Mus musculus: one gene and its partners. The protein of the gene in region 1 purifies or fractionates together with the protein of each later gene. This does not show direct contact. Links are inferred from orthologs where the notes say so. Each region holds a gene or a part of one and is shown in the gene's direction. Other genes may lie near its edges.

Region 1 (4,605 bases):
ATTTCCTCATTGGTAAAAAGAGGCTAAACCTATCTAAGAACTTTCTGGACTGTTACATTTTGAATGCAGGAGGCAAGGCACACACACACACACACACACACACACACACACACACACACACACGTGCACGTGCGCGCGCGCGCGCGCACACACACACACACACACACACACACACATCCTGGCAAAGATGTGGCTAAGAAAACAAGTCAATATTCAGTCTCACCTACACCAGAGGAAGATAGGAAAACCATGCTTCTTTGGGACACTAAACCAGAAATTTAATTTCCTGTAACATGTTTTGTGTTTAGCGCAAACCAAGACTGTTTGGGAATACTAGTGGGCAAAGCCCTTAAAATCTCACTGAACTCTGAGATACGACAGGCCTGGCTATTCTGTTTTAACTTCTGTCACTGTGCTCAGCAGTGATAGAGAAATGTGAAGTTGCCCAAGGAGCTGAAAAAAACCCACCCAACATTACTAGATGTTGGTAATACCGTGGTGGTGGTATTATAAATCACTTGCAAATCTAGTCTTAGATCCTTAGGAAAGTGTTTTCGCCCTTTAACAACCTGCAGCTCTCTAAAAGTATTTGCTTGTATTTGAATATTGTACTGAGTAGGTTGGAAGCAACAGGCTGGTGGGAGAAAAAAGAGAAGGAAGGCACTGTTGTAGTTGGCGTCTGGACTCAGGTGGAGGGAACGGCTTCGCCCGGGAAAGAACATAAGGGTATAAAGGCGAGTTCCCACACGCTATAGCAATGGCTTTCACTGTGCTTAGGAACCAAGAAAATCAGAACTGGCTTTTTCTGATTTCTGTCTGGGACGGCTCTAAAGAGAGGCTTGGGAGAGCACTGGGGGTTTTCAATCTCGAGATCCTACGGTGGAAGCGCTTGGATTCAGAAACACCCTGATAAGAGCGGTCAGTCCTGGCTTCTTTTTGAAACCACCTCCTGGCCTGTCCTACATAGCAGAGACTTCTGGGGTCAGGCTAAGCGGCCGATTCCGCACCCCAGCTAAGGCACCCTGCCGGGTGGGGGTGGGTGGGCTGCCCCAGGCCCTGAGCCAAGGTTTCCTGAATCTCTCGCATACCCTCCTCCATTCCCACCTCGGCGAATGCAGGTGGGCTGAACTAGCCACCGAAGCTCCTAATAAGCCGCCAGCGACCTAGGAGCCCACTGGTCCAGGCCCTAGGTTTCGCGGGCAAAGACCTGGAGGTCGCAGTCGGGAGCGGTGACGCGCCTGCCAGCGCAGCTCTGCAGCGCCGGGACCTAGATCCCCGGGTCCCTGCCTGGCCGCCGCGCTGGCCCCTCCCCAGCTCTCCGGCCGTTTGGCTAGTTTGTTTGTCTTATTTTTAATTTCTCCGGGGCCAGCCAGAGCAGGTTTGTTGGCAGTCGTACACCTCCGAGTAGTCACGCGACCAGCCAATGTCCTGGCGGCGCTACGGGGAGGCGGCGCGCTCGGGAGCGCGGAGAGGCGGCGGCGCCGCGCCCGGGGCCACCTTAAGAGCGCGCTCGCCAGCCTGGGCGGAGCGGCTCCCGGCGCCGAGACCAATGGAGCTCCTCCTCTGTTTAAATAGACTTGCAGTGTCAATCATCTTCTTCTTCGTCAGCCTCCCTTCCACCGCCATATTGGGCAACTAAAAAAGGAGGGGGGCTCGTGCTTTTGGGGTGTTTTCCCCCCTCATCCCTTGTCCCGACTCACTCGCGGCTCCGAGACTCGCGCGGCGGCAAGGTTTGGAGAGGGGCTGCGTTCGCGGGACACACGGGCTCGCCCCAGCCTACGCTCCGACTGTTTGCCACCTCCTCCTGCCTCCTCCCCTCCCTTCCCCGCCCTCCAGTACACTTGATCACTGAAGCCTCGAGCTGCGCGGCGGCTGGGGTGTCCCTGCGCCTCTCTTCCCCAGACCTGCGCGCTACTGCGGCTCGGGCGGTCGCTCGCCTGGCTCTGCTCCATTTGACTGTCTGTGTGCAGTCGCAGAACTTCGAAGAGGGTTTTGCGCTCCATCCGTGGCGTTTCGCTTTTGTTCGGTTTTGTTGTTTATTTCATTTTTTTTTTTCCGGAGAGAGGCGAGGCGGTGGTCCACACCCGCCCGAGGAGGAAGATGTCAAACGTGAGAGTGTCTAACGGGAGCCCGAGCCTGGAGCGGATGGACGCCAGACAAGCGGAGCACCCCAAGCCTTCCGCCTGCAGAAATCTCTTCGGCCCGGTCAATCATGAAGAACTAACCCGGGACTTGGAGAAGCACTGCCGGGATATGGAAGAAGCGAGTCAGCGCAAGTGGAATTTCGACTTTCAGAATCATAAGCCCCTGGAGGGCAGATACGAGTGGCAGGAGGTGGAGAGGGGCAGCTTGCCCGAGTTCTACTACAGGCCCCCGCGCCCCCCCAAGAGCGCCTGCAAGGTGCTGGCGCAGGAGAGCCAGGATGTCAGCGGGAGCCGCCAGGCGGTGCCTTTAATTGGGTCTCAGGCAAACTCTGAGGACCGGCATTTGGTGGACCAAATGCCTGACTCGTCAGACAATCCGGCTGGGTTAGCGGAGCAGTGTCCAGGGATGAGGAAGCGACCTGCTGCAGAAGGTAGTGACTCTTTGGAAAACTTAAAATGTCTGTCTGTCTGTCTGTCTCCGTAAGCGCCCCTTTACTAGACCCTGTTCACTTGCTTTCTCCAGCGTGTTCTGCTTTAGCTCTGGGAAATCGAACTTGTTTGAAGCTTAGGTTTGACATACCCCCTATCCGACTGCTTGCCCTGTTTATGATTTTGAAGTCAGAAGCCGGAGATAGTAAGATGTGATAACTTCCGTAGCCGAACGCATCACAGTTCCTCCCCTCTAGCCAGCTGTAGATACGTGACAAAAGTTCGGATGTTTACCAACTGCCTCCTCCTTGGCTGGGGTGGGGGGGTGGGGGTGGGGATGGGGGTGGGGAAGAGACGTGGGGTGTAGAATACTCCTTGTGTTAGTGGGAACAACCTTATTTTGTGTCCTTAGATGCTACCGGGGATGACGGGTCCAGGGGTCGTGGGTGGAGGTAGTGAGTGGGTTGTTCATCCCTTGGGCCTACTTCTGTCAGCCATTGTTGTCGATAATAAAGATGGTTTGTGTGTGTTCTCTTAAAAATTTCCCCTTGCCCCCCTCTTAGATTCTTCTTCGCAAAACAAAAGGGCCAACAGAACAGAAGAAAATGTTTCAGACGGTTCCCCGAACGCTGGCACTGTGGAGCAGACGCCCAAGAAGCCCGGCCTTCGACGCCAGACGTAAACAGCTCCGGTGGGTTAATGAGGAAGAACACAAAACTGACACCCCATCTGGGCTGCGCTCCCCGGGGGGCCTGCAGACCCCAGGACTGCTGGCAGATTAGTTGCCTGCCAGGAGGAATTACTTTCCTTGATCAAAAAAATTAACACTGGGGAAGGCTGGAATCACTTGAGGGGACTATAATGCAGTATTTGCACCCCAAGATATTTACCTTAAAGTGGAATCAGAATGAGGTTCCCAAGCAAGAACTTGCCACCAAGGCCCCAAAGGATAGGGACGGTCGTATCCTTATGAATCCCACTAAAACTTAGGCTGGGAATGACAGTTTTCCTTTCCAGTCTCAGTTCATGAGAACCCATTTCCCAGAGGTTCGTTTTGAGCCAATAGCCTATTTTGAACCATTTGAACTGTAGAAAAATGGCAAATATATACTTACATGTATGTTCTTAAGAGAAAAACTAGGTACCCATAGTGCACGTTTGATTAGGAGTGTGAATAGAGCTGCCGTGGCTCGAGTTCTTTTTATCTTTTGCTTTTGTTTTGGTTTTTGGTTTTTTGAGATAGGGTTTCTCTGTGTAACAAACAGCTCGGGCTATTCTGGGAATTGCTCTGTAGACCACGCTGGCTTCGAACTCACAGAGATCTGTATTGTCTCTGCCTCCTGAGTGCTGAGATTAGAGGTTGTGTGCCATCACCTCTGGGTACTTTTTTATTTTTTTTTAAAGTTGTGCCTTGTATGCTGGTAAATTTTGGAGAGAAAGGAACTTCATACTTAAAAAAAAAATTAGACTGGAAAGTTCAGAAGTACTAATGCTCCCACAGAATTGATTTTAACCCTGAGGTTACAAAGCAGAAGTTAAATGAACAGCTAGAGGAAGCAGCCTTCCCACACGTCAGCACCGTATGCTAATTTGCTGGAACAGGACGGTTTGGATGTTTATAGGGGAAATGGATAGTAGATGTTAGGACCAACTGAGAAGGTCCAACACAAGTGTGGATTTTTCCATGTGTCAAAAATCTCATCACCCCACTTGCCTAATTAGAGTAACCCAGCCCCTAAATTTACATAGATTGACTATTCATATGCTCTAACTACTTATAATAGTTTATAAGCTCCTTATGAAGAAAACCAGCATTCTCTATTTCTAAAGCCCACTTATAACCCAGCATACAAATAGATCTTAACAGTTTATTATTAACTTTTCAGGTCCTCATTTATTGAAATTTAAAAATAAATGAAGGAATATAGAGATGGCACAGGGTTCCAGCTTGTTGTGTTTATAAATCATAAAGTCATGATATACCTTCTACAGACATAGCATTTTTTCAGAGATGGAAAATGGCCATTAGAGT
Region 2 (3,805 bases), on another chromosome or scaffold:
AGAAATGTATAGCTTATATACATATATGTACAGCTGACATGAAAAAATACAGCTGGGTATAGTGGCACATGCCTTTAATCCCAGCATGTGGGAGGCAGAGGCAGGTGGATCTCTGTGAGTTTAAGACTAATCCTGGTCTCCAGGCCAGCCAAGGCTACCAAAGAAGATCCTGCCTCAAAATGATGATGATGATGATGATTTTAAAAATAAAAGCACCAAAAATATAAAGGGAACTAATAGGGAGGGTAAGGAGCAAAAAAAGTGAGGGTAGCTCAGGGTGGGGGTACACTTAAATTACATTACTTCTGTCTTAGGGTTTTACTGCTGTGAACAGATACCATGACCAAGGCAACTCTTATAAGGACAACAGTTGATTGGGGCTAGCTTACAGGCTCATTATCATCAAGGCAGGAACATGGCAGCATCCATAGTGCAGAAAGAGCTGACAGTTCTACATCTTCATCTGAAAGCTGCTAGCAAAATACTGACTTCCAGGCAGTTAGGATGAGGGTCTTAAAGCCCATGCCCACAGTGACATACATACCTACTCCAACAAGCACACACCTCCAAATAGTGCCACTCTCTAGGCCAAGCATATTCAAACCATGACATTCCACTCACTGGCCCCCAGCTTGGTCTACAGAGCAAGTTCTAGGACAACCAGAGATACACAGATATGTCTTAAAACGTAACAACAAAAAGAGTTCTTTCTCATCAAAAACATATATAAGTCCTTATACATAGGCTCCTAAAACAGCTTCTCTAATAATGCTGCCTTCCCTTGTCCCTCCCAGGTCCCCAGTATAGCTCTAAAATTTCAGAATTTTTAAACATTTTTAAGAAATCACTAGTTTAGGCAAATAGTATGACTGTTTGGCTTTCATTTTAGGATTATTATAACTTATCACTTACTGTGGATCATTGATAACTACAGCTAAAGACTTTGACTTAAATCTCATTATTTTGGATTTCATAAGGTCAATATATTATACTTTTCCTTATCTTGACTTCTTAAATGGCTATCATTTGCCAGATGCTAATTATGTGGTAAGGATTTTACATGTAATATTGAATCTCAAAACAATATTTGTGGTAGTTAGCAACCCCATTTTATCAATGAAGTAACAGAACCTCAGAAAGGTTAAATAATTTGCTCTGTAGCATATATAGTCAACAAGTGGTAGAACCAGGATAAGAAAGTCTACAACTAAAGCCCACGCTTGATTTAAAAACCTTATGACAATGCCTGACAGGGAGAAATCTTAAGTGCTTTATAAAATGTATCCTTTCCTCACAACTTTCTAAAAGTATACTCTTGTCTCTGTGTAACAAATAAGGAAACTGAAGGACAAAGAAGTTAATCTACATGTTTTTAAAAAATAACACATCCCTTGATATAACTGTAAATATTTTAAGATTAGCCTAACATAGTTAAGAGCCCATTTTTTACCAACACATACAAAAGAATTATATAATGTTTTATACTATATTATTATCTTTTCTAAACTTAGAAATATTTGAAAATTTAAAAATAAATACCCTGCTACGCTCCATTAATCCCAGCAGTCAAAGGCAGAGACTGAGTTTGAAGACAGCCAGGTCTGCATAGAGCACCTTATCTCAAAAACAAACTGACTGACTAAATAAATAGCAACTGAGAAGGTTGCTTCATTTATATTATCTACTTGAACTAATTTAGATACTTTGTCAATATTAATATTAATGATCCAAGAAATCACTCTACAGAAAATGCTGCTATGGATGATTTGATGTTGCTGATTTAAAGTTTGTAACTTAAGTATTTCTATTGTTCTGGGAGGGGCTGTTTTTTGTCTGTTTTGTTGTTGTTGTTGTTTTCCTAAGACAGGATTTCTCTGTGTAGCCCTGGAGCTCAATTCTGTAGACCAGACCAGCCTAGAACTCAGAGATTCACCTGCCTCTCTGTTGAGATGAAAGGTGTACACCACAACAGCCTTTTTCCCCCCTTTTTTTTAGGTAATTTGGCTGTTATTTTACAATTTCTGTACTTTACTCAATTTTAAAATGTTATTAAATTCACAAAGTAACCTTTTCACTATAGGTCATGGCCATTGCGCCAACCCATTACATCTGGCAACGAGAGCGGTCTGTGCATCACAGTGGAGCTGTTAGGAACTACAACAGAGATGAGGTTCACCTGCCCAGGGGACCTAGTGCCACACCAGTGGATTGCTCACTGTGTGGTAAAAAAGGAAGATACGTGAGACTGGGACTGTCTTCATCCTCATCTTCCTCCAGTGACACAGGAGAGCTAATGGAAAAAGATTCTCAGGAACTACACAGTGCATTCTCAGTGGACACGGCAGGTGACCCTCCTCATACCTATTCTCAAGGTATGGCTTAATGGCAGGTAGACTAATGCATGCTCTCTACCTACTAGACCTTACAGGCAGGGATGCATAGTTTACATAACTGCGTTGCATTTGTATTGAAAGTTTTCCCCCTTCAAGTTACCACTTTTTATCCTATCTATACCCATGTTGTGCTAGCCTACACACACTAAAAAGGATTGTAACATATATTAAACTTCACCTCACTATGCTACGAGGTCCAACTATTAAGGCTTGAAGGGTTTCTATGACATGTTTATTTTATTTAAAAATGTTTTCAAGAAAATAAATTTACTTCTAATCACCATCCAACTATTGGTTTCTTCTCTATACTTTTCTATTTCTAACAAAATTAGGCCATATTTTAGCCAGGCTAGCTTTTTTTATTTACTATGAATCATTTTCCTATGTCATTTAGTGTTTGAAAACCTTATTGTGATATGTGTAATTTATTTGCATATATCATTGTTGAGTTCTAAATGATTACTTAGAACAATGATATATTAACTAGAAAATAATTAACCATAAATACAAACTATGCCATAATTTTCAAATTATCTTTATGTGTAGTATTTCCCTGTCATTTTTCTTTGCTAGATTTGAAACAGTACTAAAGTACTCTGCAATGGGATCCTGTTTACTCCTTACAGATTTCCCTCATTTGAAAAACAGATTTCACTAGGCAGTAGTGGCACACACACCTTTAATCTCAGAACTTGAGAGGCAGAGGCAGGAGAATTTCTGAGTTCGAGGCCAGCCTGGTCTGCACAATGAGTTCCAGGACAGCCAGGGCTACAGAGAAATCTTGTCGAAAACAAAACAGAAAAAGAAAAAGGAAAAAAAAAACCCAGATTTTTTTTGTAGACTCTTTTATCATAGAAAAAAAAAAAAAACAGACCTACATCAGTCAGATTTTTACTACTTTATCTTTACCATATTCCTATGAGAAGGACAATGACTACTGAAGTGTCACTAAAAGGGGAACTAAACTCCAGTCCAGTGGCTTCCAACCTTCCTAATGCTGTGACATTGTAACACAGTTCCTCATGTTGTGGTGACTCCCAACCATAAAATTATTTTTGTTATTACTTCATAACTATAATTTTGCTACTGTTATAAATCCTAATATAAATATTTGTGTTTTCTGATGGTTGTTTGGGGGTCATGACCCACAGGTGGAAAACCACTGCTCTAGTCCCTTGGCAGTAGAGCATAGCTCCTGTTCCTTTTACTGGACACAGTATTTGCTTAACAAATTTCACTGGCAGTATAGTCTCTTGCTTTTCAACATCTCCAAGCACATTCTTTTAGTCATACACATATTTGACAATAAATAGGCTAATTATTAACTCAACTATAAAGTGTCATTTGTTCTCCCTCTTCTATCTCCTAGGTTTTTTTTTTTTTTTTTTTTACTTTTACATTCTTTGAGCTGG
Region 3 (2,929 bases), on another chromosome or scaffold:
CAGATTCCTCGAGAAATGTTTGTTTTGCCACATGAGAAAAAACACAGCTGCTAACTTAAAATGTCAAATACATTAGACATTATACATTATTTAAAAATAAGGCTGCTGACCTAACTACATATTACGTGGTTACTTTTAAGACCTTCTGGGGACAGTTGTCTTTGAGAGTTTGTAGTCCCGGCAGGGCAGGGCTTTTTAAGTTAGTGCTGAAGGCTTAGAGTGGTGTGGTCTGTTCCAGGTTGACGTCGAGCAGCACACTTTGGCCAAATACCTCATGGAGCTCTCCATGCTGGACTACGACATGGTGCATTTTGCTCCTTCTCAAATTGCAGCTGGGGCTTTCTGCTTAGCGCTGAAAATTCTTGACAACGGTGAATGGGTAAGCTGTCTCACCAAACTACCAAGCATTGGAACGGACCACTTGGTGTTGAGATCACTCTCCTGGGTCCTAATATGGAAGGAGTGTGACCATAAATGGTAACCCAAATGCTGCGCTGCCATCTCAGTGCTGTAGCTAACTTCAGTCTTTAGGATAACACCCTTTGGAGAGAGGAAGCCACACCAAGTGATCTAAGAAACCTGTCCACATCCTTGGAGGTGCATTTCTCTTGTACGGACAGGGTGCTACCCTGACCTTGGGATAGAGAAGCCACAGTTACAATATTGTGCTTAGAGCTCAAGCTCTTCCAGAAGTATATGTGGGCAAAAAGATCTTGTTTCATGTGTAATCACACTGTTCACCCACCAGACTCTTAAATAGCATCTAGAAAGTTTATAAAAGGAGGGCTGGTGAGATGGCTCAGTGGGTAAGAGCACACTGACTGACTGCTCTTCCGAAGGTCCCGAGTTCAAATCCCAGCAACCACGTGGTGGCTCACAGCCATCCATACTGAGAACTGGCGCCCTCTTCTGGTGTGTCTAAAGACAGCTACAGTGTACTTATACATAATAATAAATAAATCTTTTTTTTTTTAAAGTTTATAAAAGCCGCCGGTGTTTTAAGCATGTTTTTGTTCTCTTAGACACCAACTCTGCAGCACTACCTATCCTACAGTGAAGACTCCCTGCTTCCTGTTATGCAGCACCTGGCTAAGAATGTAGTCATGGTGAACTGTGGCCTCACAAAGCACATGGTGAGTCCATTGAAAATTTAAGGCTGGTTTATGGCCTATAGTCCCACCATGCAAGGCAGGAAGAGGCAAGTTTTGAGTTTAGAGCCAGCCAGGACTCTATAGAAAGGTTGTTTAATTTCATTTTTTAAGTTAAAATATAATTACATTGTTTCTACTTCTCTTCCCCACCCCCCCCCCAACACACCCCCAATGGCAATGTTTTTCTTCTTCCTGATTGCAGTGCTTTTCTCTTACAGACTGTCAAGAACAAGTATGCAGCATCTAAGCATGCTAAGATCAGCACGCTGGCACAGCTGAACTGTACACTAGTTCAGAATTTGTCTAAGGCCGTGACAAAGGCATAACTCCAATAGACTGCTACATCTGCAGATGCAGTTGGCACCATGTGCCGCCTGTACATAGGATACCTACCGTGTTTACTTGCTCTTCAATAAAGGTTGTGACTTCTCATTTTACATAGCTTAACTCATTTGAATGTTGTTGCTTCTGAGTTTAGGCTAACGGAAGTTGTCGAATTTAGGAGTATATTAAAAACTGCATCTAGTTTTAACAGTGGATCCAACTAATGTATATATCTGTAGCCTATATGTCTATATACATCCTTCACTGTGTGTCCTTATATCATCATGTCTTCTGCCTCACTCTAGTTTAAACTCTAAATCTACCAGCTAGTCCTTTGTTCCATTTTCCAGTGGTTGCCACCTTTAACCACTGTCTCTTGGTTTGTCAACTTTCAGATCTGAAACCAAGTATCTTTTTTTATGTAATTATTTATTTGTTCTTAATTGGAAAATAGGATGTTCAAAATTAAAGGTGTGTTTTAAAAAGAATTTGCCCCCAAGTCTCACTATCAACAGATAAGGGTGTATTCTTGTATATCCTGTATAGATATAATCATGCATATACTCCCAAGGAGATATTTTTATATGGGTTCATTTTATCAACAGTATTCCTATCAGCATTCCTTTCAATGCCTATATTGCATTTCCTAGTGTGAACAAACTGTGTGTAACATAGTCATTCCCTCGGTGGGATTCAAGTGCATTCTCTCAGTGCCCTCCACAGTGTTCTTAAATGATGTTTAATGTCTTGCTTGGCTTCATTCATAGTAGCTCTTCCAGGGGTGTGCTTTGAATTCTGACAGCCAGATGGGTGTGGCTGCCACCATACCAAGGCGCCACTCCTGTCTTGTAATGCCACCTGGAAAAGAATCCTGTCTCATTTGCTGTTTTAATTTATACATCTGATATCAAGTTGAATAAAATTTATTGGTGGAAAGCTTTCACAATTCTCATTTGCCCTTTTGACTGTTTATGTTGTCTTTGCAATATGGAGACTTTATGTTGCTAATAAACATAGTTTTCGATTTTCAGCCAAGGTCGGCCAACTCCCAAGTGTGCACACCTTGTAATCCAGCCCAGGTTTTTAAGTGTACATATCTGATCTAAATGGTGTTATTCCCCTGTAATAATAGGACTTTTTTTTTCTTTTCTTTTTTTCTCTCTCTTTTTTAATATATTTTTCAAAAAAGGATGTCCAATCCCCTGGAACTGGAGTTACAGTTATAAACTGACATTTGCCTACTGGGAATTGAACCCAGGTTTTCTGGAAGAACAGCCAGTGCTCTTAACCACTGGGCCAATTGTCCAGCCCATGATAGGAATTTTTAAAACTGAGTTCTAAGAGTTTCTGTGGCTACATACGGCTTAACGAGTGCATCTGCGTGTATCTTGTTACTTGGAAACTTTTTTTTTTTTTGGTTTTTCGAGACAGGGTTTCTCTGTAGCCCTGGCTGT
Region 4 (4,584 bases), on another chromosome or scaffold:
AATATTTGTTTTTGTGTATAGGGATAGCATCTTCTGCCTCCAGCTGACACTGAATTTATTCTGTAGCTGAGGATGGCCTTGCATTCCTATTCTTCCTGTCACTTCTTCCCAAGTGCTGGGAGTTCAGGCCTGTGCAATATGCCAGGTCAACTGTGTTGACTTAATAAATGTTGTGGCACAACAGACCAGTCGATTTTGGTGGACTGCTGGCTGTTTTTCCCCCAGATAGGGTTCTCTTTGTAGTTCTGGCTGTCCTGGAGCTTGCTCTGTAGTCCAGGCTTGTTTGAATTCAAGAGATCTGCCTGCCTCTGCCTCTGTCACCACCACCCAACTGCTGGTTGTTTTAAGCAACCCTAATCAGCAAAACTGACCTGGCACTTGGGAGCCATGGGTTAACCTAGGGGCGTGGCATAATAAGGGCACGCACCAAGTTAAAAGAAGTTGGCACAAAATCTGTCTATACGCATTGTTAAGTTAGCAACAGGATTTTCAATGTGTTAGGACTAATTTTTAGAAATAACTTCTTGTTGAAGCAGTCTGGGGAGAGTTAATTTTTTGTTGTTGTTTTTTTTCGAGACAGGGTTTCTCTGTGTAGCCCTGGCTGTCCTCGAGCTCACTCTGTAGACCAGGCTGGCCTCGAACTCAGAAATCCCTGTCTCTGCCTTCCAAGTGCTGGGATTAAGGGCATGCGCCACCTCTGCCCGGTAGAGAGTTAAATTTTTAAGGAGGCTCGTCCAATAACTAACTAGACAACCGTTTCCAGGCGCCCAAACTGCACGCCCGTTTATGCCAACCTCGGCCCGTGCTATTCACGTTCCCATGCGGTGCCCAAACCCAGGCCTCTACAACGGATCCAAGGCCCAGGGCCTACCATCCGGCACCTATGTGTTCTTTTCGGTCCTTCGCGGCCGTCTATTTCCATGTAGAAACAGGGTGTGCCCTCCCTTTTCCGAGCACAGACCCCATCCTAAGGGCGGATGCTGGGGCCCCAGGACGAGGCCCCTGAGGTTGGCGGGAGCTCGAGGGGGCGGGCCGCCAGGGAACGGGGAGGGGGGGAAAGCAGAAAGACGAGCAACGCGCGCGGCGCTCAAACCCGCGCTGCCTTCTGCTCACGGGCGAACCCCACCCTCTCCGTCACCAAAGGCGCCCAGCCAATGGGCGAGCCGGAAAGGCCGGGCTTACAAGCGAGGGACCGAGAGGGGGAGCCACTCGAGGGGAAAGGGATGTAGAAGGCGGGCTGCACTTGACTGACAGCTCACTCAAGCCAATCCTCTGTGAGGCTTCTCCGCTCTCCTCTTTGCTGGGCTCTGTTCGACGTCCCACCTTCTCTTCCTCCACCCCCCCCTCACTCCTTTGCGTCCCGCCCCGCCTCCCCTCCCCCACTCTGCGGGCAAATCACTGCTGGAAAGAGGCGGGGGCCTAAGCGGCAGGCTCGTGTGGAGCCTTGAGGTGGGATTGACGGGCGCTCCGACCAATAAGAGGTAGGCTGATGGCGCGGCTGTGGCCGGGGCCGACCAATGGGCGCGCGGCCTGGGGGCGGAGGCCCAGGTTCCAAACGCTCCGCGGCGCCATGGGCTGAAAACTCAACCGAGATGGAATCTCCCAGTCTGAACCGGTTTCAACCGGTTCCGAGTTTGAGGCACTAGGAGGAGGGGGAGAAGCGGCTGCAGCGGCCGCGGCAGGAGCAGCGGGAGCTTCAGCATCAGCAAGAGCAACAGTAGCTACAGCCCCGGCGGCCGTGCCTGTTCCAGCCTTTGCTGCAGCAGTCGTGCAACCATCCCGAGGGGGAGGGGGGAGGCACCAGTCGCTGAGGAGCACGCGAAGGGGGGAAAGTTTAGGCTAGCTCGGGTGGGGGGGCCCGGCGCCGGAGCGGCGTGAGCGAGGGAGCCCTGTGTGGTAGGGGGAGCCGGACTGCAACTGGCGGCAGAGCGGCCCCGGCCGTACGGACTCGCGCTGCTGCTCCCGCCGCCGCCTGTGGCTGGAGGGTCCTGGGCTCTGTCTCACGGACTGGCCCGCTCCCCTCCCCCTTCCTTCCCTCCCCAGCCGGGCGGGAGCATTTATTTCTCGGATTAATTCCCCTTTTTGGTGGGGCGCGTGTGTGTGCGTGCGCGCGTGTGTGTGCGTGAGTGTGTGTTGGGTGGAGTTGTCCCTAGAATAGTAAATACTGAGCTTTTTTTTTTTTTTTTGCCCTTCTCTGCTTTTTAATTTCTTTTTTGTTTAAGGTGGGAAAACTGTGAAACCCACCTTGATTTCCTCCCCTCTCCCTCCTCCCCACCTTCCCTCGCCCCAAGCCCGGACAAGGAAGGAAGAAGCAGTTGGTTGAATTTCTGGGTAAGTCGGTCGTGTGCTCGGGGCCGAGGGTCGGGCGGCGGCGGCGCGGCGGGCATGAGGCGAGGCGGGCGGCGGGCGCGGGGCCCTCGGCGGAGCCTGAGATTGAATGGAAGCGCTTCTGTCGCTCGGTGATGGAGGTGGGGAGGCGGCCGCGGGAGGGGAGCGCTTGCTGGGTCATCTTCGTGTGCGGGTGGCGGTGGAGGAAGGCGAGGAGCGTGGTAGTGAGGCTGAGCCCCTGCGCGTGGGTGGAAGGGCTTCCCCAGTCCAAAGGGCTGGGGAGAGTCGGGGGTGATTTCGGGAACGTCTCTGTAAATTATTAGGAGTGGAAGTTTCCAGAAATATTTAGTGCAGCAGCATTGAAACGTCCGCCTGCATCACGTGGCCCCCTCGGTGGAGAGCTTGGGATGGGGGAGGGAGGGGCTACCGAGTCCCTTCTTATGTGAAGAAACTCGAAAGCCTTGTGGGTGATTTTTGTTGTTGTTGGTTTTGTGAGTGTGTGTATAACAAGAAGTAGGAAAGAGGAGTTAATTTCTTTTTTTCGGGGGCCTGCAGTTGGGGTTCCGTGTTGTAGGTTGTTTTCGCCCGGGGCATATATGTCTTGGTGAAACCGTGTACTGCTGGCCGTGGACAGTGAATGATGCCCTCCCTGCTCCTCCTTCTGGTTTCTTGAGTTTGCGGTGTAGGAGAGGAAGTGGTGGTAGAGGATGCACTGAATACTCGCCGAGGCGGGACCTCGGATCACTCAGAGGACATGCTGCATAGAGAATAGGGCGGTGAACTTAGGCGCCGGGTCTAAATGCCTCCTCCGAGTATGGGCGGGGTGAGTGCGTGCTCCTGTGAGCTATAGTTAGAAGTGCTGAGAGTCGTTCGGGTGGGAAGCCAGGGGAGGGCGGTCCCTTCCTAGTGAGGCGTGTGTTTCTTACTGAATGAAGCAGGCGATTGCCCACACACGGAGTAGCAGTCTTTTGTAGCATCTTGTTTTTTGACTCATTGTGAACTTACCTTTTTAGATGGCTACTGGTGGGTAGTGTTTTGCTGCTTGCAGTGCCATTGAAGGTATATGGACAATCACTTGTAGAGTCACAGCATTGTTTGATGGGTTCCTACAGTTCACAATCCAGTGAGTGGAATTTGGGATTGGGGGACACCAACGAGACAGGTGAACCAATCAGAAAGTGAACAATCCCTCCATAGCTGCACTACTTACTGCATGATTCTGTATCTTGAATGTGGGTGTCACGGCTGACGGTGGAATGACTATTTGGAAGCTGTTTGGTTGGGGCTGCTAAATGTGCTTGGCATTGACCACAGAGCCGCCATTTCTGGATTACCTATAGTTGAAGTTGGAAGATAACCGCTAGTTCCGAGAAAGGCCAACAACTGTATTTAAGTATTCTTAGATTGCACCCCTTCCCCCACATGAGTCTAGTATCTGAATTCTTAGAGAAGACCAACTTGAAAATGAAACTTAGGACTTAAGTGTAGGGTCATTTGACTAAACATTTAATCATTACTTTTTTTTTTAAAGAACTATAAATTGAGATAGTGTCTGAGACAAGTTGGTTGCAATTTTTAACCATAAACTCGAAAAATCTGTTTTAATCTGTAAAAGTTATGACACTTGAAGTTATTGGAAAGAATAGTTATTTGTTAGTGGGATTTATTTTTCTTGTATATTAGTGTTCTGTTTTTCCCTTCTTAAGACAGACAGAGTCTCACTGTGTATTCCAGTCTGTGCTTCCATCTCTTCTGGGATTGCATATGTCTTATCTCTTAACACTGGCCTTGGTGTTAATTGTCCTTTCACCTCCCAGGTGCTTTCTTTAATTTTTAATATATAATTTATTTTTACTTTTAGTTTATGTTTTGTTGGTGTTTTGCCTGCATGTATGTCTTTGTGGAGGTGTCAGAAAACCAGAAACCAGAGTTACAGATCAATGTGGGTGCTGGGAATTGAACCAGGGTCCTTTGGAAGCACAGCCACTGAGCTATCTCTCCAGCCCAGTTTGTTTGTTTCTTTTCTTTTTCTTTTTCTTTTTCTTTTTCTTTTTCTTTTTCTTTTTCTTTTCTTTTCTTTTCTTTTCTTTCTTCTTTTTCCGAGACAGGGTTTCTCTGTATAGCCCTGGCTGGCCTGGAACTCAAATCTGTAGACTCAGAAATGCACCTGCCTCTGCCTTCCAAGTGCTGGAATTAAAGGCCTGGGCCACCACTGCCGGGCTCCAGCCCAGTTTCTTTATCTTTACATGAGTGTAA
Region 5 (4,495 bases), on another chromosome or scaffold:
ACGGGTTAGATCTCAAGCTGTACAAGACGACAGCTCCAGCAAAGGGAGGTAACTCCCCCCCCCCCCCCCAGTCTTGATAAGCAATTATGGGTTGGGTGAACGCTCCTTAGGCCTAGACAAGGCACTGGGTCTCCTCTGATCCTGTCTACGTGTAAAGCTGGGAAAGTAAGCTTTAGCCGGTGTGAAGGACCATGCGAAGACCCGGGAAGTGTGACGAGGGCCTTCCTGGGCTCTTAACCACAGCGTGGCACAAAAGGCCCACCGCGGCCGGAGGCCTCCAGGTGCATCTCGGGAAGGGCCGGGCCGCGCGGCCGCTGTCCTTGGCGCCCTCGCACCGGCTCACTCCGGACCAGGATGGCTAAGCGCGGGACCGCCGGCCTGCGGGAGCCCTTCCTGCGCTTCCGCGGCCTGGGGGTGGTCTTTGTTCCCCAAGCGGCGTCGCGCCACGGGACTGTGTGTGCCGTGTCACCCGCAAGCCCGGCCTGAGGGTGCGCAGGGCGCCGAGAGGTAGTCGGAGCCCGGGGCTTAGGAGCGGCGCGGGGCGGCCCGCCACGTCCCGGCAGCGCTCGCAGGCGGGAGGCGCTCCCGCGCAGGCAGTTCGCGCGGGCTCCGCAGGGCGCGCTGGCTGCCGGGCAGGGCCGGGGCGGGGCGCGGCGCGGCGCGGCGCGGCCCGGGCGCGCACGTGGTGCGGACCGTCCTGCTCTCCGGCCAGGTCCCCAGAGCCTCGGCGCTCGTGCGTGCGGACGGGGAGGGCGCCCGCTGGAGTCCCGAGAGGTGGTCAGCGCCCGGAACAGGCGTCTGAGGAGAAAGGCAGCGCGCGGCGCCAATATTTCCCGCGCGGGCTCTGGGAGGGAGCCGTAGGCAAGAGCGGAGTGGCCGCTCGGCGGCGCGCGGGGACAAGGCTCCCACGTACCTCGTCCGGCCGCGCTGAGGCACCTTCCTGTGCGCCGCCGCCCGCTCGTCGCCCGGCGGATGGCTCCGGCTCCGCACGTGGCGGGCGGCGCGCTCCGGCGTGTTTACATTCTGCGGCCGCTCCACGTTGTGCTGCCGTCCTCTCCTGCCATTGGCCGGCTCCTCCCGGAGGGGTGGGCCCTAGGCTCCCGCTCCCCGTGCCTCTGAGGAGACTTGGGGTTCCCCACCCCAGCCCTCCCAAGGCCTCTGCCAAAACGCGGAGCCGAACCGTAGCCTGACACTCCGAGATCTAAGAGCCACCGTGAGGGGGCCCGGCGCGAACTGGAAGGCGTGCGGGAGCCTGTGGTGGGCAACCAGCATGGGGGAGGAGCCTCTGAGCCGTGCAGCCGCGGCGCGCGCAGGTGAAGCGCCGAGAGGGGCGGAGGAGCACGGTCCAGGAGGGCAGCCGTACGGCCACTCGGCGCCCGCCCGCCCGCCAGCCCGTCCGCGCGCACTGAGGGCAGGGCGCGGCGCGCGCGGGCGAGCTGGGCGGGCGCGGGTGGGGGAGGGGAAGGCGCCGGCCGAGGTGTCAGTCTGCGGCGCATGCGTGCGGGGCGGTCCGGGCCCGGCCTATATATTGAGTTGGCGCCGGCGCCAGCTGAGCCGAGCTGTGGAGGGTCTGGCGGTGAGGAGGTATTGGGGACAGGGGCATGCGGGAGCTAAGGGAACCACGTCTGGCGGGAGCCATGGGAGAGGAAAAATGGGGGGCGGGGGTGGGACAAGAAGTAGGAGACTGGAATTCAGGGGTTCCCGAGGTTGGTCCCTGTCAGGATTCTTGTCAGGAGGCCAAGCAGAGGCAGGGGATGGAGTGTGTCCCCAAATGAGAGGCCACGGCAAAGCTTCTCTGGGAGCTTCTCTGTCCATCCTCACTTGGGGAAGGTCTCCCGCGCGAGAGGATTAAGGTGGGATCACTTCACGGAGAGATTCTTAAGCACGGTTTTCTCCTTTAATTCCCCCCCCCCTTTCCTTCTGCTCTTCTGGAATTGGGGTCCCGTCACCCCTGCAAGCGACACTGCCCGCCGGGTGGGGCTGGGAAGGAGGGAAAGGAGCCTGGAGGACGTGACACCAGAAGGTTCCCTCCACCCCCTGCTTCCCCGCCACAGCCGCTCTCCAAATTGGCGCGGAACCGGCTTCTCCACAGCCCGCTCTTGGAGGCTCGTCCAGGCGCCTGGCGGCCGAGGCCAGGACGTGCCTTTCCCACCCTGGTTGTCCTGGGGAGTGCATGAATGGCCCAGATGATCATCTAAGGGTGCTAGGGGACTTTGCAAATTCCTGAACGCACTCGCGTTCCCAGTGTACAGTTAAGGAAATGAAAGCATGAATGTAAAATTACTGAGATAGCGAGTGTATTTCAGAAAATAGTGCAGTGTTTTATTTTTAAAGGTTTAGGCCACCTTCTAGTAACGTTAGTTGGTAACTTCTGAATCAGTTTTAATTTGGAACTTGAAGATTATGGATGACTATGTTCTTGATTTTGTTTTTCTTCTCCCCTATTTAGAGGTTTCATAGTCCTTGAAGAGAATGTCAAGACGCAGGTAACAGTGTTAGTCTTGGAGACATGTTTCAAAATTAGCTGCTGCTTTTGAAATATATGACGTACTAATTAAGCTTCCTTTCTACAATTCATCACAGTAGCCGTTTACAAGCTAAGCAACATGCCCAGCCCAACCAGCCAGACTCTCCGCAAGAAACCCAGATAATTCAGGCCAAGAAGAGAAAAACAGCACAGGTGATTTAAGGAAAAAGAGGGAGAAAGGGAAAAATATTCCTTGCTGAAACCTTAGTTTACATGTTCTTTTCTATTCTTCAGGATGTCAAAAAAAGAAAAGAGGAGATCACCAAGAAGCATCAGTATGAGATTAGGGTAATGCAGAACTGGACAGGGTGGGCTGGGGAAGAATAAGAGTGGAATCATGTGTTATTGCCTTATAGTGGGAAGATTCTGATACTTTAGAGGTGAACTTGAAGGAGGTTCATATAAGCCTGAGTCCTACAGCTGCAGTGTAGATGGCTTAGAAGCAGCTGGTTCCCTTTGGTAAATCCCTCCCTTTTGGAGCTGGCTGGTATACTAGGTCTGCCTATATACTGCTCTTTGTTCATTTTCAGACTACAGTGGAGGGCCCTAATAGCTAATGAGTGGCATAAAAAGGATGTGAGATCACTGTCAGTTTGGCAACCCGGCTTTGGGATCCCTTCCTATGTGTTTACTTGGAGATGGTAATTCTTTCAAAAAGATTCTCTAAGTGATTCCACTTGACTAAATTTTTTGATGTTTTCACATTCAAGTATTAGAAAACACGTTAAAAAGAGCTATTTTTTAAAAAAGTATCCTTGCTAGAATTTCTAGATTCAGAGAACTAGTCTTAAAATTATTTCACTTTACATTAAAATGCATGTTATTATTTCAGTACATTAAGTATTGTATTACCTTGTATTACCAGGCTTCGTTATCTAACTTAAGAAGACTAATATGAATTATATGGCTTTAAAAATAAAATACAGGGCTGGGCGTGGTGGCGCATGCCTTTAATCCCAGCACTTGGGAGGCAGAGGCCAGCCTGGTCTACAGAGTGAGTTCCAGGACAGCCAGGGATACACAGAGAAACCCTGTCTCGAAAAAAACAAAACACAAAACAAAAATAAAATACGAACATCAAATTGGCTATCATTTGAAATTGTAGAACAAAAGCCAAGGTTTCTTAATGCACTAACAAGTTTTTCTCTTTCTGTTTTGAAATGACAGAATTGTTGGCCACCTGTACTGTCTGGAGGAATCAGCCCTTGCATTATCATTGAAACACCCCATAAAGAAATAGGAACAAGTGACTTCTCTAGATTTACAAATTACAGATTTAAAAATCTTTTTATTAATCCCTCACCTCTGCCAGATTTAAGGTAAAGAAAATTTTTTAGTAACTTTATGCTAAACATTAAAAGTGGTAGAATTAAAGCAATGCCAGGTATTTTCTTTTGACTTTAATATAAAATATGGAAACTTGATTTTGGGGGGGGGGTTTGTTTGTCTTTTAGTGCTTCACTTACTGAAAGTAAGCATGTATCATTCTACATGAGATATTTGCAAATGATAGCAAGTGATATACTTAAAACCCAAACTTGGGTTTTACTTAACTTGCTTGGTAAATGTTTCTAGACATAGCAGAACTGAACTACTTTTTAAAATGTAGCTTAAATTTGCCTAGTTAAAATTAGAACATTTTTAAATGAACAGTAGTTTCAATTGACAACTCTACTTACTCCTTACCAAGTTTACTATCAGTTGTGATATGATTAAGAAGTAGAGCTTATAGAAAATATTCATATAGTAATTGACATTTGACTTGAATAAGCAAATTAATGGAGGCAGACAAACTATCTCTGTGCCTGATACTTTGTTCCACCTTAAAAATCATTATAAATGATGCTGCTATATTTTCAAATGTTGAAACTTAATTATCACTGTGATCATATACTTATTTTTACATACACATATATTTATTTTTATCTTACTGGGTGATAATGATACGTGCCTAGCACTCAGGAGGCA
Region 6 (4,577 bases), on another chromosome or scaffold:
CAGTGACCTTCTGTGACTGAAGCAATCCCATCATGCCTCCTTCCTGTATGAAAAGCCATCCCCATATGTGGATTCTGACCCCTTGCTCAGCGCAAGACTAGTGTGTAGACCAGTGTGTAGACTAGTGTGTAGACCAGTGCATAGTCCAGTGTGTAGACTAGTGTGTAGATGGATCTCACTGCTTATATATTGTCCTGTGCTTTCCTGGGGCTCACTTGGGCTGAGCAGAGAGAGCAGTGTCTTAGTGGTGGGCTTTCTTCTTTCTTTCCCTCCTTTCCTCTTTCCTGCCTTCCTTATTACATCCTTTTTTCCCTTGATTTTTGTTTTTGAGACATAGTCTCATGATATTAGCTCCTCCTGACCTAGAACTCTTATTTAGACTAGGCTGGCTTTGAACTCAAAGAAATCTGCTTGCCTCTGTCTTCAAAGTGCTGGGATTAAAGGGGTGCTCTGTCATGCCTGTCTTCCTTCCTTCCTTCCTTCCTTCCTTCCTTCCTTCCTTCCTTGTTATTTGAGTCATCTGACATGGGTCTGGCTGGCCTGGAATTCTCCATGGGCTATTATCATTTGGTTTGCTTGGTTTTGTGATAAAATCTTATATAGCCCAGGCTGCTCCTGAACTCATTAGGAAGCAGACAGTGACCTTAATCTTCTGATCGTTTCTGGGTTCTGCAGTGCTGGGGATTGAGCCCTGGGCTCTGAGCATGCTAAGCAAGAGCTCTACCACCTGAGATATATCTGCAGCCCACCCCCTGCCACCGTGTGTGTGTGTGTGTGTGTGTGTGTGTGTGTGTGTGTGTGTGTGGAGAGAGAGAGAGAGAGAGAGAGAGAGACTCTAGGCAGGCCTTGAATTGTCTGTATAGTGGATAGTGGATCCTGGTGTTAAGCCAACACTTCCCTGGGTCTGAGATTACTGGCTTGCTCCACCACAGCCAGCACCAAATGGCTTTTTATATGCTGATTTTGACCAACACTGCTCACACCTCCGTTGGTGCAACGCAGTGTCCCATTCAGCAGACCTGAGAAACTGCATTTCTTCTTTTGCTTTTTATTTTCGTTGTGTATGTGCATGAAGGTGTGTGCGCACATGCTACATACAGCCTTGGTGTAGAAGTCAGAGGACAGCTTATGGGAGTTGCTCTCTTCTCTTCCATCATGTGGGTCCCAGGGATCACACTCAGGTTGCCAGACTTGATGCCAGGATAGTTTACCCTCTGAGCCATTGAATCGGACAGAAACTACATGCTCCCAGATGCTGCTGCAGATCTGCGCAATTCGTTAAAGTAGACGAGATTCTAAGTCAAGTTTCCCGACGGACCAACAATGAGATCTTTGCAGCTACTATTGTGCCTCAGTATCATGGTCTGCAAAATAAAGCCCAACTCGAGGCCATTCCTAGAAGCCACTTTAGGGTAGGAGTGACCCAACTATGTACAAAGTTATGACCACATTCCCTAGAGCAATGAAATATGACGTATACACGAAGGAATAACTTTTGGCGCCTAGTTCTTTCCTGGGTGGCTAGAATCGCGACGGGGCCCATTGATGGGGAAGAGGGCACCCTTCCAGAAAGTTCTCTCTACCCTCTTGGTCAGAAGGGACCCGAGGGCCCGGAAGCGTGCGGGCCGGAGCCCAGCGGACCAATGGGGCTGCGGGGAGGGAGGGAGGGTATAGCGCCCGCCAGCCCTTTCCGACTGCGGCCCCGCCCCTTAGAACGTTGTGACGTAGGAGCATTCCACGGTTGCTACATCGTCGCGAGGGGCGGGGCGCCTGTCAGGGAAGCGGTGCGCGCGGGTGGCGGGCGGGCTGGGGCTTCTCCGCACAGTGCCAGCGCCAGCGCCAGACCCGCCCGCACCCCGCGCTCTCCCTCACGCGCGTCGCTTCTCCTAGGACTCGCTAACCCGCACTCTTGCTCTCACCCGTGAGCCATCGCAGGATGGAGCTGCTGTGTTGCGAGGGCACCCGGCACGCGCCCCGGGCCGGGCCCGACCCGCGGCTGCTTGGGGACCAGCGTGTCCTGCAGAGTTTACTCCGCCTGGAGGAGCGCTACGTGCCGCGAGCCTCCTACTTCCAGTGCGTGCAAAAGGAGATCAAGCCGCACATGCGGAAGATGCTGGCATACTGGATGCTGGAGGTAAGGCCCGAACGGGTCCCCTCTCCTCACCCCACCCCCACCCCCGGCTCTGGGACAAATTGAACTTTCCCTGTCGGATCTTTGCGATCCCGACCACAATCTGCAAGATGCTTTGGCGGCCCAGACTACTGGGGCCTGGCCTTTTCACACAGGCGCCCTAAGCAGCTGCCTGCGTTCTGTCCCTTTCCTTTCCCCAATCCTGATCGGCTTCTTCTGTGATTTCCAGTCACTTGGCACTGTAACTAAACTTCACTTTGGGTCGGGAAAGCGGGCTAAGGGCCACTCTTTCCCCAGTGGCTTTCCTCGGTGTCTCCTGCTTCCTTCTTCACCCGGTGCTCTCTGGAGGGCGCGTTTGGAAAACCCTGGCCTCGGCCGCCTTAGCCCCAGAACTGGTTCCTGTGTCTATCGCGGGGTTCTGGCGGGGGAAACTGGTGGGTGGGGGTGGCGCAGGCTCGGTTCCGGTCCACAGGGAAATGAAAAGTGCGGGAGACCGCGGCAGGAGTTCCCTCCCTTCCCCCTGGGAGTGTGTGTGCAGTGGGTGGCGGTAATGAGGGTAAGGTCCCAATTCTCTCTAGGTGACCCTTCCGTCCCCCTTCCGCTCGCCGTGGGGGAGGGGAGTCTGGAATCCTTCGTGAGCATGGGCTTCTCTTTTACACCCCCTACTCCGGGGTGGGGAAGAGACCATGCAGAGGAAGTGGGGGGGTCACCTTGGGGAGGGCACATCCTCCTCGGTTATTGATACTTGTCGCTCTAAGTTTATCCCTTCTCGGTTTATTTTTTGCTTCGCATTCCACTCTCCCTCCACCCCCCACCCCCACTTCTCCACGCTGCCGTGTTTCACTTGGTCCTTCCCTAGCAATGACTCGTGCGCCCTCCCTCAGGTGTGTGAGGAGCAGCGCTGCGAGGAGGATGTCTTCCCTCTGGCTATGAACTACCTGGATCGCTACCTGTCCTGCGTCCCCACCCGAAAGGCGCAATTGCAGCTTCTAGGTACCGTCTGCCTGTTGCTGGCCTCCAAGCTGCGCGAAACCACGCCCCTGACTATTGAGAAGCTTTGCATCTATACGGACCAGGCTGTGGCTCCATGGCAGTTGCGGGTGCGTGCGGAATCCTCCCCCCCCCCCCCCGCCCCTCCACCAAACATACGATCGCCCTATGTACTAGTAAAAGAAAAGCCAAGCTCACTCCCTCACCCACCAACCCTCCCTTCGCCCCTGGCTGGTATTTTGGGACAAAGGCCTTGTAGTGTGGTCGTGGTGCTTCGGTTGCAAGCTTAAAACTAAATGAATCCCTTTCCTCTGGCCGCAGTGGGGTTCCACTCCTAACTCGCCCCCCCCCCCCCCAATAGCAACAAGTCCAATTGCGGGTCTATACACCAGTACTTTGCCTCTGGGTTTACACAGCCACCGTGAGTTATTTATTGGCAGCAGCAGGGCATGTCTGCACACCCCCACCGGAGTGGAATGTGCTTCACGTGGGGGAGGGGGCTGCCTTGCATGAGCCTTTATCCCCGTGTGGACTTTGTGATGGAAAAGCCTCCCGGAGCTGATTAAAGCCAGGCCCTGCTCGCTGGAAGGAAGCGCTGAGGTGTTTTCATCCCTTTCCCTCCTATCCCCGAAGACACCGCTCTTTTCTAAACCCTCCCTTTCTTGTCTTCCTTCTGAAAAACTCGAGCAGCTGCTCTGGGCCCGTGGAAGAGTTTCTCCCTTTGCTGCTCAGCCAAAGGCCAGAGCCGAGACAGACAGGGAGCTGAGCTGCAGCTGCTTCCGATGTGATAATGATGCCGGTCCCCTGGCCCTCCCACTCAGACCAAGGGCTTTCATAACCCTGTGGGGAGCTGCTGTCACTCCTGTGGTTTGGGAAGTGGCTCCTTGGGGCCTCTTGCTGGGAACTTGGGCTGGGCTCCTCCAGGCGGGGCAAAAAAAAAAAAAAAAAAAAAAAAAAATCGGTTGGGTTCTGCCCTGCCCCGGAGGAGTCTAGGGAGGAGGTGGATCTGCTTGGATCTGGAAGGGAGCTTGAACGTCATCTCCCACAGGGTCTGGGGGAGAGGGTGGGTGAGCTGGCACCTCCCTCCACCTTGTTCTGTGGCTGGCCAAGCCTTCTCTGACCCTGAGAGGAGTCTCTGGGCCCCATCTCCTAGGGAGGAGGGCAGCAGGCAGACTCCTGTGATTGGCTGGCTGGGAAGCTAGGGTACTGGGGCCCCTGACTGCTGTGAGTCGGGGAACTGGATTCCTCTTCCTGTCAAGCAGCTCTCACGGATGGGAGGCCTGAGTTGGGAATCCGGGAGGCCCCACAGCTCTTTGTGATGAATCTAGTTTCCAGAGCCAGGGAGCACGATGTTTTTGAGGGATTGAGGCTGGGAGGTAGGAGACTTACTCTTTGTGAAGAGATTAAGGGTGGTCTACATGGCTGTGTGTGAGGGGAGTTTTTCAGAATAGGCAAA
Region 7 (4,472 bases), on another chromosome or scaffold:
CGCGGGCGCATCTGCGTTTGCGCACACGCGCGGGTCGGGGTCCCGCGGGCGGCCTCCCCTTACTGCGCTGGTGGCGACCCTTGCGGCGTTTGGCAAGGCTTCGGGAGAGGCTCATGAAGGATTTCATTGAGTGCTAAGACAGAGATCAGAGACAGAAAGCAGAAGGAGGCGGCTGCAGCCTTTGTAGTCGCGGAGGAATGCGGAAATGTTGAAGCGCTATGTCAAACTTTTTTGAAATGGGGTCAAGTCACATTCAGCCAGCGTGGGAAAGCAACAACAACTACGAAAAAGTGGAGGAGGGGAGGGGGCTAGGCACCGCCGCTCCGGTCCGGGGGGTGTAGGCCCGCGGGGGTGGGACGGCTGCCCCCTCCTGGAGCCTAGGCTGGACACCGGCAGAGGGGGAGGGCGGGCGCCAAGGCCGTTGCTCCCGCTACCTGTGTGGCCCTCGACCTGGCTCGGACCCCCGGGTGAGGGCTGGAGGGTCCTTTCCGCAGCTTTTTAGGAAAGCTCTCAAAGGAACGGGGAGTGGCCCTGCCTTGGCCGGGCGGTGCTATGCTGGCATCCAGTGGGGGTCGCTCCATGTGTTCTTTAATACCAGGCAGAAGAGCGTGGTGGTGGGGGGGATGGGTACGGGGCAGGTAAACGCATGCAGACCGTTCCGGACACGCGGCTGTGGTGGAACAAGGTCCAGCCCAGACTAAGGCCGCTGTGGGACGGGAAGGCTCACTCGGTCATCCCTAAACAACAGAACGGGGAGGGGGCGCCCGACCGCGCGCGTGGGACCTAGCCTCTGGCCTTTGGAGAACAGAGCGACTGTCTCAGCTACCGACATTCAGCCGCCCAGGATACCGGGCGGGGATTCGGAAGTCTCGACACAAGGGCAGCCCCTTCTCACACCGGGGAGACCTACGTTTACTGCCCCCTACCCCCACCGTCGTAAGGGCGGTTGCTTTTGCACGGCTTGAAAACTTAAGGACCAGTCCCGATTAGCTAGCAAAGTCCCGAAGTTACTTTTTCAGGACAGGACGAGTGAAAGTGTGACGTACCTTCCTTTCCCACATCCTTCGGATCTTTGTGTTTGTGTATGTGTGAGGTGGGGAGCACGACACTACTCCCCTTCCAGGACCCCTCGCTCTCCCACCTCTAGTAGCCCCAGCCCTCCCCTACCAGATGGTCTGTCCTCGCTGAGTTTCCACCAGGGAGGTCCTCCGAATCGGAGGCAGAATTTCGTCTCCCACTAAGCTTGCCATACCCCAAAGACCATTTGTGAGAGCGAGTCCCTTTCAAATGTCTCCCTGTAGAAAAACTGAAAGTAGAAAAGAAAGGAAGCAATTTCCGAGCAGATGTCTGACCACCCCTACTCGCATACTCGCAGCATCGGGTTACAGGGTTCTAGGAGCCCCAACCCCGTTCTGCGGCCCCACGTGGGTGAACCCCCGGTGCTTTTACGCCAGCTTCCGAACTCCCCCAGGTCGCCCCATACCCTGCACGACCAGGCCCCTGGAGTCAGGGAGGGCAGCGGAGAACAATAATATAGGTATAAATATTGAGCCGTGACATTGACGCGCCCGGCGCCTCCCCTCCCCCGCGCTCCGGGCACACTCTGGGCTGCTCGGCACGCCCCCTCTCGTCCCGCTGCGTCCCGCGCTGCGCTCATCCCCGAGGGGCCCCAGCAACCTCTCCTTCGTGAAGACTGCACGAGCCCTGCTGTGGAAGAAAAGTAACTTGGTTTTTCTCCGAGAAACCCGGCCCGATTAGGCAACCAGTGCGAGTAGAGGGAGGAGGAGAGGAGCTGGTGGAACCCTGTGGAAGTCTCCCGGGCAGTCTGATCACACTTTCTCCTTGTCCTCCGGTCTCCTCCTCCTAGGTGCAGAGATTGTGGGCAGACTATGTAATCGCTGCGGAGGGGGAAGAGGAGGGATCGGCGCTCTCCTGCGGCGGCGGCGCGGCGACTCGGCTAGGCGGAGTTTCGCAGCGGCTGCGCCCGGCTTGCACCCGCGGGCGAGAAGGTCGGTCCGTCTAGCCCGGCGGCCGCGAGTCCGACTCCCCGAGGCGTGTAAGGCAGCGAGTGAGCACCCCGGTTCCACTGTGCCGCACCCGCAGCCTGAAGCCAGCATGGAGAAGGACAGCCTGAGTCGCGCCGATCAGCAGTATGAGTGCGTGGCGGAGATCGGCGAAGGCGCCTATGGGAAGGTGTTCAAGGCCCGCGACCTGAAGAACGGCGGCCGCTTCGTGGCTCTGAAGCGCGTGCGAGTGCAGACCAGTGAGGAGGGCATGCCGCTCTCCACCATCCGCGAGGTGGCGGTGCTGAGGCACCTGGAGACCTTCGAGCACCCCAACGTGGTCAGGTGAGCCGGGAGCCCTGGCTATGGGGTCCGGGAAGGTGCTGGGCAAGGGGCGGCTGGTGGCCCAACTAAAGTTAAGAGTTGAGTTTCCCCAGATAAAACCGGTGACTCTGTTAGACAGGGCAGAAAAAGAGACCTGCGGTGGCTTCCGGGCAGCCAAGCTATTCTGAAGAGCTTTCGCTCTGCGTGCCCCAAGGGTTCCGGGGGGGCGTTGGGTGTCTTTTAGGGACAAAACCAGACAATCCCTCCAGCCCTTACTTAACTTTCCCCGTCGGTGGGGGGATTTTTGAGAGACAGAGTGAGATAGTTATCCAGCTTGCAGATAATTAGAAGGAAACTTTAAGGGTGGAGCATAATGTAAATAAAGTTTAAGAAATGTGTAAGAATGTGTTTGCCAATCAAACCCACAGTGGTGACTTTTTTTTTATAGTTGTAGAATGGTTTCTGATGGTCTTAGAAGTTCAGAAGTTTAGACTCTGACACCTAGTGTTAAACATTGTTTGAAAAATGTCTTTCAAGGCTGGGTACTGGGAACACTGAACCAGGAAGATCCAGAGTTCAAGACCCTCCTGAGCTACAAAAGACCCTGTCTGAGAAAAGAAAGGGAGGGAGAGTGGGTGGTAGGGTGGAGGGCGATTGCTTCTCAAAGGGTTTTCTGATTGTATCATTTAGTATCTGTGGACTGGTATGATCTGACTTAGAATGCCTCTCTCATTGGTTAGATGTGAGTCTGTGCTTTAGATTTTAAAGCCTCTGTTTTCCCTGGAAGAGTTGTGCAGGTGGGTGGGGGAGGCATTCCTAACCCAGTCTCCTGTGACTGAAGATAATGGTGTTTTCTCGAAGATGCTGGGATTTCCCCATTGTGCCTTTTCTCATTCTCTTTTTTTAAACAGATGCATAGCTGGAAGTTAAAAGGGAATGCACAGACTTTTCTACAAATTAGGTGATGAGTTAACATTCTCAGCTCTTCTTTTTAGAGGGATGATCTTGGCGTCTTCATCCTGTCTTCTCATTCCTGTAGGGATTCCTTACAACAAATATGTGCCTACTGTATGCCCTGGGATGAAGTTATGTAAATAAGAACAGCTAAATATTTTTGTAAAAGGCAAACAATGTAACATTAGTCATCAAAAAGGAGCGACCCGAGACTGACCTTTGAAATACCAAGCCCTCTAGGACTCAGAGTCTACAGAATCTTCCTGGGAGGTGGTTGTTAAAGGGCTTTTAACTCCTCTACTAGGCTGGGTGTTCGTTTTGTTTTTTGTTTTTTGTTTTTTTTTCTGTTTATTTATTTGTTTGTTTGTCTTTTGGTGGGGTTGGGTTTTTTGTTTTTGTTTTGTTTTTGTTTTTGTTTTTTGCTAGCACTTTGTTCCCAATATAATCAGACTCACAAGTGAATCATACTACATAAATAAGTAAAAAGCCAATGTAAATAAAGGGCCGCCATTATACCTATGCTTTAGTTGGGTGGCAGGGGTATGTGGGGTGCAACAGCAAAAGATAATGAGACGAGGGAGAATGAGTCTTCTAGAAAGTCAGGTTTTACTAAAAGTGGATTACTGTCTGTCTGTCTGTCTGTCTGTCTGTGTCTTGCACTTCAGAGAGGTCTGTGATCCTGAAAGTTGCCTGCTGGCTCAGAGTCATTCACTACCCTAGAGGATCACTATAGCTGTAGGAAAGGATGACTTTCAACATTAGAATTTAATATCAAATTTCGTTTGTCTGTTACCTGTGGGGTGTCCAGATAAAAGGTAATAATCATATATGTAAATAAAAAGTAGCATTCCTCCAAACAAACACCCTTGTATAACCAATCATTGAGTGCAGTTCAATACAAGTCCCTGTAACAGAAGAGTTTTGGCTAGCTCGCTCACCCTGTTCTCCTGTTTTATCCTCCTGTGACTGGTGTGTCTCTAGATGGTTTTTAGTTGATCCCACAGTGGGATTTTGAATTGTGAGTTCAGGAGCATCTGCTTATATGCAAAAAGAAGATGCGCTTTCTAAATTTATTTTACCTCGTTTGACACCTGCCTACTTAGAGTTGTGAGGATAAAGCAAGAGCATAGGTGAAAATCCTCTAAATTTAAAGCCACCTCAGGCACTGGATATGTCAGAGATAATCAGATC

Evidence for each region.
Region 2: the proteins of Cdkn1b (region 1) and Spdya purify together in Homo sapiens (affinity purification with western blotting; 3 studies listed by BioGRID). This does not show direct contact. The link is inferred for Mus musculus from reciprocal best matches to the Homo sapiens genes CDKN1B and SPDYA.
Region 3: the proteins of Cdkn1b (region 1) and Ccnb1 purify together in Homo sapiens (affinity purification with mass spectrometry; 5 studies listed by BioGRID and IntAct, with this or other methods). This does not show direct contact. The link is inferred for Mus musculus from reciprocal best matches to the Homo sapiens genes CDKN1B and CCNB1.
Region 4: the proteins of Cdkn1b (region 1) and Xpo1 purify together in Homo sapiens (affinity purification with western blotting; 4 studies listed by BioGRID). This does not show direct contact. The link is inferred for Mus musculus from reciprocal best matches to the Homo sapiens genes CDKN1B and XPO1.
Region 5: the proteins of Cdkn1b (region 1) and Ccne2 purify together in Homo sapiens (co-immunoprecipitation; 5 studies listed by BioGRID and IntAct, with this or other methods). This does not show direct contact. The link is inferred for Mus musculus from reciprocal best matches to the Homo sapiens genes CDKN1B and CCNE2.
Region 6: the proteins of Cdkn1b (region 1) and Ccnd3 purify together in Homo sapiens (affinity purification with western blotting; 9 studies listed by BioGRID and IntAct, counting the BioPlex papers as one, with this or other methods). This does not show direct contact. The link is inferred for Mus musculus from reciprocal best matches to the Homo sapiens genes CDKN1B and CCND3.
Region 7: the proteins of Cdkn1b (region 1) and Cdk6 purify together in Homo sapiens (affinity purification with western blotting; 8 studies listed by BioGRID and IntAct, counting the BioPlex papers as one, with this or other methods). This does not show direct contact. The link is inferred for Mus musculus from reciprocal best matches to the Homo sapiens genes CDKN1B and CDK6.

Annotation. Positions count from the first base shown.
Region 1 is NC_000072.6:134,918,820-134,923,424, forward strand, and holds the start of Cdkn1b (cyclin-dependent kinase inhibitor 1B), read left to right. Parts: upstream 1-1,581; 5' UTR 1,582-2,100; coding exon 2,101-2,575; intron 2,576-3,136; coding exon 3,137-3,255; 3' UTR 3,256-3,264; intron 3,265-4,605. UniProt on the Homo sapiens protein: Important regulator of cell cycle progression. Inhibits the kinase activity of CDK2 bound to cyclin A, but has little inhibitory activity on CDK2 bound to SPDYA. Involved in G1 arrest. Potent inhibitor of cyclin E- and cyclin A-CDK2 complexes.
Region 2 is NC_000083.6:71,576,022-71,579,826, forward strand, and holds part of Spdya (speedy protein A), read left to right. Parts: intron 1-2,080; coding exon 2,081-2,372; coding exon of another isoform or gene 2,373-2,383; exon of another isoform or gene 2,384-2,679; intron 2,680-3,805. UniProt on the Homo sapiens protein: Regulates the G1/S phase transition of the cell cycle by binding and activating CDK1 and CDK2.
Region 3 is NC_000079.6:100,778,226-100,781,154, reverse strand, and holds the end of Ccnb1 (G2/mitotic-specific cyclin-B1), read left to right. Parts: intron 1-238; coding exon 239-379; intron 380-1,022; coding exon 1,023-1,133; intron 1,134-1,369; coding exon 1,370-1,477; 3' UTR 1,478-2,416; downstream 2,417-2,929. UniProt on the Homo sapiens protein: Essential for the control of the cell cycle at the G2/M (mitosis) transition.
Region 4 is NC_000077.6:23,254,387-23,258,970, forward strand, and holds the start of Xpo1 (exportin-1), read left to right. Parts: upstream 1-1,654; 5' UTR 1,655-1,774; exon of another isoform or gene 1,775-2,257; 5' UTR 2,258-2,331; intron 2,332-4,584. UniProt on the Homo sapiens protein: Mediates the nuclear export of cellular proteins (cargos) bearing a leucine-rich nuclear export signal (NES) and of RNAs.
Region 5 is NC_000070.6:11,190,232-11,194,726, forward strand, and holds the start of Ccne2 (G1/S-specific cyclin-E2), read left to right. Parts: upstream 1-1,477; 5' UTR 1,478-1,584; intron 1,585-2,449; 5' UTR 2,450-2,472; coding exon 2,473-2,486; intron 2,487-2,583; coding exon 2,584-2,680; intron 2,681-2,761; coding exon 2,762-2,815; intron 2,816-3,694; coding exon 3,695-3,846; intron 3,847-4,495. UniProt on the Homo sapiens protein: Essential for the control of the cell cycle at the late G1 and early S phase.
Region 6 is NC_000083.6:47,591,719-47,596,295, forward strand, and holds the start of Ccnd3 (G1/S-specific cyclin-D3), read left to right. Parts: upstream 1-1,748; 5' UTR 1,749-1,936; coding exon 1,937-2,134; intron 2,135-2,577; exon of another isoform or gene 2,578-2,607; coding exon of another isoform or gene 2,608-2,661; exon of another isoform or gene 2,662-2,681; coding exon of another isoform or gene 2,682-2,687; intron 2,688-3,015; coding exon 3,016-3,231; intron 3,232-4,355; exon of another isoform or gene 4,356-4,497; intron 4,498-4,577. UniProt on the Homo sapiens protein: Regulatory component of the cyclin D3-CDK4 (DC) complex that phosphorylates and inhibits members of the retinoblastoma (RB) protein family including RB1 and regulates the cell-cycle during G(1)/S transition.
Region 7 is NC_000071.6:3,342,252-3,346,723, forward strand, and holds the start of Cdk6 (cyclin-dependent kinase 6), read left to right. Parts: upstream 1-1,641; 5' UTR 1,642-1,720; intron 1,721-1,867; 5' UTR 1,868-2,115; coding exon 2,116-2,348; intron 2,349-4,472. UniProt on the Homo sapiens protein: Serine/threonine-protein kinase involved in the control of the cell cycle and differentiation; promotes G1/S transition. Phosphorylates pRB/RB1 and NPM1.